Linked DNA regions of Saccharomyces cerevisiae S288C. Changing the gene in region 1 together with any one later gene gives a genetic interaction. Each region holds a gene or a part of one and is shown on either strand. Other genes may lie near its edges. The genes, in order: BIL2 and AAD4.

What was found.
Region 2: mutations in BIL2 (region 1) and AAD4 together harm fitness more than expected from each alone (negative genetic interaction), as found in Saccharomyces cerevisiae (one large-scale study listed by BioGRID).

What each region holds. Positions count from the first base shown.
Region 1 is NC_001139.9:464,205-466,938, reverse strand, and holds BIL2 (Bil2p), read left to right. Parts: upstream 1-1,503; coding exon 1,504-1,896; downstream 1,897-2,734. Other genes in the region: PUF4 (Puf4p), read right to left, coding at 1-798; KAP122 (Kap122p), read right to left, coding at 2,028-2,734.
Region 2 is NC_001136.10:17,077-20,454, forward strand, and holds AAD4 (putative aryl-alcohol dehydrogenase), read right to left. Parts: upstream 1,491-3,378; coding exon 501-1,490; downstream 1-500. Other genes in the region: THI13 (4-amino-5-hydroxymethyl-2-methylpyrimidine phosphate synthase), read left to right, coding at 1-150; YDL242W (uncharacterized protein), read left to right, coding at 1,883-2,236.

The DNA.
Region 1 (2,734 bases):
AAATGACGTTGAGGAGGGAGTATTATCAAAAGATATGGATTGAGTTCTGGTTTTTGCAGTATTGTTAGCTCCTACAGACGGTTTCTTAGCCTTAGAAAAATTCTGCATGTCAGATTGGAAGTCCTTTGACAAGGTTACATTGTTGGCCGCATTGATAAGGTCAGTTGGTGATAAAGCATGAAAAGTTTGTCTTCTGAACGAACTAGCCTTATTATTAGACTCCCTGCCCTTAGATGGTAGGCTTTCTTGTAGAGTAGCGGTGGTTTCTTCAATGGCTACAGATGCTGATCCTGGTACGTTTGAATGAGTCCATAACGGATCAGCCGATGCGATTGGCAATACCTTCATTGAATTGTCATTTATCAATGGGTTTAGATTTTGTCCACCTTGAGTTGCTACCGCAGCACCCGAAGACAGCATTTGAAATGGAAGTGAGTCATTCTTGAATAACATTGGTGGACCGCCTGCATTCAAGGGCGAGCTACTCAATGGTGCTGTTGGATCATTAAAATCAGGGGGCGGAAAAAATGGACAAGGATTATGAGGAACCTGCATCATTTGAGAGTAGGGCATGAAGCCCATTCCACCCATCATTTGTGGATGTGGAAACATTTGCGACGGAGGGCCATTAGCGAATTGAGAATCTTGAGAAACTTTATTCGCAAATGCATTAGAGGTGGCGTTTTCCTCTGGATCATCTAGTTGCAACTGCTCTAAAGCAGAATTGACTGTTTCTGAAACGACAGGGTCTACTGATGGTACATCATCGATTTCTTCTTTCAAACCTTTTGTAGACATAACGTAGGTCCACTTAAAAATGTTACAGCGCTTAGTTCTCTCTTTCTTAAAAGATATCGAGGACAAAGAAACAGTAAGAACGGAAAATGAACAGAGACTCTTAAAAGAACCTAAAGAATAAGCGAAAATAAAATATGAAAAGAGAACTAGTGGACAATATCAACAGGAATTTTAAGTGTACTAAAAATAAATCGTCTGGAATAGTGTACAAAAACGAATAATATTAATGACGGCTCAAATCCTAACGTTGGAAACTAAAATACAATAAAAATAATGTACAATGTAATATACGGAAGAAAGTTTTTTTTCTGTTTCAACAAAAAAAAAAACTATTCAAAAAAAAGACGTGAGGTACTGTTTGCTGTTCACCTTCGGAGAGAGATAACCAACCGATATTCTCTTTGAGTCTGAGTGATTTGTTAAACAAGGTGCAACGAATAAGAATATAACTATACTATCTACTATATTGATCATTATTTTTTATTCTCTGGAGGACCCCAGAACAAAAAAAATATAGAAAAAAAACAATCGTCAAGAGTGACAAATACATGAGTAATAAGAAAAGGCGTCACAAATTAAAATTTGCAGTCACAAAGAGAAATAGACAGAGAATAGACTGTCTGGAATTAAGATGTCTTTTCTATCTGAGCTCCCAACAAGGCAACGGTATTGGACAGATATAATTCACAAATCACAATTCACTCCATGGAAGACACGATACGTCCATTAAATTACGCAGATATCGAGACCAGCGGGCCCATAAACCTTCTTGAGACAACTAATAACCTAAAAAGCTCGTTAAAAAAGTTTTCACAAAAGGCAAAGGGATCACACATTTCCAGAGAAAGGATTCACCATTTTAGAAAATGGAAAAATAAGACCGAATCACTTTCAGAAAACCATTTGAAGCCTCCTCCTGACGTCGACTCTCTATGTTTCAGTAACTGCTTTCAACCTGACGCCCTGTCTGGAAATGTATTTTTACCCCCCAGAAGCTCAAACATGTATTGGAATGAAAAGCAATTACAATTAGAAATGGAAATTCTAAAATTTTTATCACTAAATACTAGCAATGAATGCTGCACTTCTGATGATTAGCTTTTACACACATATATACTGCTACTATCTTTAAAGCACAAAAAAAAAATCTATCAAAAAGGATCAACGCATTACTAAATAAAATGTAACAAAGAATAGCCTTCACCCTCAGCGGAGAAATTCTTAACAAATCATCCTTGGTAATTTGGAAGTGTGGTACAATCCAACCACCACTGCAAAATAACATTTCCAGCTGCTCTGCTTCCTCTCGTAATAAGTAATTTATTAATAAATTTTTCATGACCTGCAGGATTGTTACATATTTGGGGCAAAACAGCAACGAGCCACTCTCTTGCTTCAATTGGAAACTTGGCTACCAAAGCTCTTAGCAGATCTGTGTAACTATTCAGATCGGACCTTTGTGTGTGGAATAAGCCATACATAATTTGGTACACAAGGTCTCCTCCTATAGAGGAAACTTGTTGCCTAACAGTTGTGAGTTCTTCTTGGTTGTATTTCTTATTATTGATCAACTTAGTCCAAAATTTTGCCACCGCAACAATTGTGAACTTTTCTCTTGAAGGTATTAATTTTAAAAATTGAGGTAAAATAAATGATGTCCAATGTTTACTGCCAATAGCTAAGCCTGGCTTCACGTCCAAAACGTTATTAACAAAACCTATTGTCATTTGTAAAAGGTCCGGATCATTGATAATATATGCATCATAATAGACTAGAAGGATCTTTTCAAACATGAAATCAAATTCTTGTGGTGTTAGTTCCTTCCTGAACTCTGAAATAAGCTTTTCTAATAAATAAACAAAATAAGGCAAGCAAGTAGCAAGCTCACAGTTGGGGACATGCCGCAAAACAAAATTCATAACTTCAGACATATTGT
Region 2 (3,378 bases), on another chromosome or scaffold:
GACTATGTCTCGAACTACACTAATGAATACCTGTCCTGGCCAGAACCAGAAGAGGTTTCTGATCCTTTGGAAGCCCAAAGATTGATGGCTATTCATCAAGAAAAATGCAGACAGGAAGGTACTTTCAAGAGATTGGCTCTTCCAGCTTAAACGCACTTCGTCACTCCTCGAGCGTAGCCTTCCTCTACGACTTGTTTATGATTTCCCATTAGGTTTTTTTTCCTCCCTGATATTTAGATATTTACTATTAAGATATTATTTATGAGCCTTTTATTACAGCTTCTTTTCCCTTGTAATTATCGTACTTGCCTCCAAGTATCGAAAGTCTTGTGTTGCCTCGATTTACCACTTCAAATGCTGTAACCTGCACAATTTACGCCTGAATTAGGTGAGGGATAAAGACTGTTTTTAGGTGCGGCTTATTCAAAAGTATAAAAGTAGATAGCGTGGAATATATAAGGACATATTTCTTACACAAACGCACCAAAAAAGAAATCTGATTAATCGAAGGAAATCTGCGCAGACATTGCCGTGAGAAGTGAAGCCTTCTTGGTAACAGCCGGATCATCACCGATAAAATTAGTAGGAAAACCAACATCAAAAGGAATAATACTTTCTAAGTATTCTATCTGTTCTGGTGTCAGTTTGATACTTAAAGCCTCAATGTTCTGTTTGAGGTGTTCAATTTTCCTTCCACCAACCAATGGGAAAACATTTTTCGCCTTAGAGCGAACATAGGCAATAGCAATAGCAGTAACAGACTCAGTGCCATGTTCCTCAGCAACCTTGGCCAATGCTTCACTGATCTTAACCTCTTTATCCGTCTGTTTAGAAGTACCCGAAACAGTACGCAGACCCTCTCCATTCTTCTTCCGTTCCTCCATTGCTTTTTTACTCTGAAATCTTCCACCTCCCATAACATCCCATGGGGCTAGAGCCATACCAAAATGTCTGGCCATTGGAATGATATCGCGCTCAAAGTCCCTGTTCAACACATTCCATTTACCTTGATAGATACTAAAAGGAGTTTTCCCATGAGATGTGGCGTAGTAGTTTGCCGCAGAAACAACCCAAGCAGGTGTATCAGACACACCCAAATAGAGGACTTTGCCCTGCTGAACTAAAATATGCAAACTATCCATAACTTCTTCGATTGAACTCATATAATCCCACCAGTGAACGTAAAGTATATCAATCCAATCAGTTTGCAATTTGCGGAGAGAATCCCTCACACTCACATGTAAACTATGCTTGTGATTACCACAATAGTTGGCACTTTTACCGCCACCTACTTCATACTTCTTATAATCTCCGGTAAACTTGGTGGCAATTACAATTTGGTCACGCAACTTTCTTGATTTCATCCATTCACCTATCCAAATCTCTGACTCTTCATTTTGGTAACTGTTTGCAGTATCAATGCAATTACCTCCTGCTTCATAAAAAGCATCAAGAAGTTCAAAAGCCTGTTCCTTATTCATAGAGCCCATAAAGCCTGACCATGCATCGCCGATTGAAGCTCCTCCCAGAATTAGCGGTGAAACTCTTATGCCGGCAGTTTTAGAAAGAACCCTGAGACGTCCCAACTCGGTAGGTGGTTCAGGTAGAGGTTTAAATAATTCACTAATATTATTGAATAATATTTTGTAGCTATAGGAAGTGTATTCTAGTGAAATACAAAGCCGCTCAGTCAATTCGTCAGCTGGCCGATGAAAGGAAGAACTGCAACTGTCCTTGATCTGGAAATATTGTCATGACTTTTATATGGTTCAAAAATCTGCCCCCAATTTGTTCGAGGATATTTAGTGCAACTTAGTTGGGTCTTGGAACGAGGTCTGCTTACTAATTTTATGTTGACGGTTGAAAGCGGATTTTAAAACGTATGAATTTAGAAGAGAGCCAATCAAATAGGGGTACGCTTAATATTAAAAAAATATTAGTAATTGTTTGTATGACGAATAAAATTTGTAAGCACCTGATCCAATCCTTATTATTGAGCAAGAGACGTCTTGTTTCTGTACTCTTTGATAACTATCAAGGCGACATGAAACTAAGGTCATCTCCATCTGCCATTCCTCTAGTTCCGTCAACGAAAATTCTTCAAGCTATGGAGGCCCGGAACGACATTGTTGACAGTCTGATCATCAATAGTCACGCAACGGAAAGTGATCGCCGGACTTTAGGAGACCATGAGGTTAGACAATGTGAGGATACCAACTTCGGCTTCAAAATTTGATACAGGTTAATTTTGAAGGCAACATTTAGGTTCGGCCTTATTTAAAAAAACCTTCAGGTACGCGTTCAAGATCCCATTTTAAAGGTATAGGCAGATTGCACTATTTTACCGGCAAATGTGCGAATATCGAAACTGGAAGATGTTTTCAAGAAAATTGATTTAAGATCCATTTGTCGTGTTTAGAGTTCTCATTGTTCTGGTCAATGATTTCAAACTCAAAAGGCACAAGAAACTTACAAAATTTGTTTCTTATGAACATTACGCCATGTTCTTTGCGAGCATGTGCTATACAGTCTTGCTAGAAAATGGCCCTATAATTAGAAAGCTCAAAAAATAACCCAATGCTGCATCGATTTTTGGAGAAAGGGGGTCAATCATCATCTATCTTCATAAATAACGAGTTGCAGAAAAATTGGAAACTGGTTGATTTTGAAAAGTTTTCATTTTTCTGGCAACAAATTATAGCTACAAAAAAAGAAGTTATGGCGCATAAGATGCATCAATATATGGTGTGACCAGATTGGACGTAACTAGTACTCATGTTATTATTCATATCCTTCATTTTTCCTTCTTTTCTTCTCCTTCTCGAACAGTAACTTCAGATTGAAAGACGTGAGGATGCTTTAGAATGCACATTAAAATTAATATACTACTGGCCTCTTGTGTTTGTCATTGGCTTCTATTTTCAATAAAACATCCAGACAACCCTGCTGTTAATTTTGGAAAAAAAATTTCGCCGATTCTAATCATGTGACTCCTTTTCCCCAGGCAATACCGGAGAAAGCGTTCTATCTCAAACTATATAATTTGCGCTGCTCGTCTCCAAGCCCATGCTAGTGTTTACTTTCGGTTGTAAAAGGTAACTAGAAGTTTTAACGCAAGCATTGTATTATATTTTCCCACAATTGCTCTTAAGGACCTTTTTTTTTCTTGCGTGATCCTGCACTATTGAAAAGTCTTTATCAAAAATAGATGAAACTTTTTCAGGGTTCAACATTTAGAGGCTTTTCTCATATTCTTTACTCAGTTGCCTGCGAAGACCCTTCTGCCCGCTGCGCATTTTCTTAGAAAATCAAAAAAATTGCCTTTTCATCTTTTACCTTCCGAGTTGAATATGTTGACTATTTGCAAACAGGCGTATG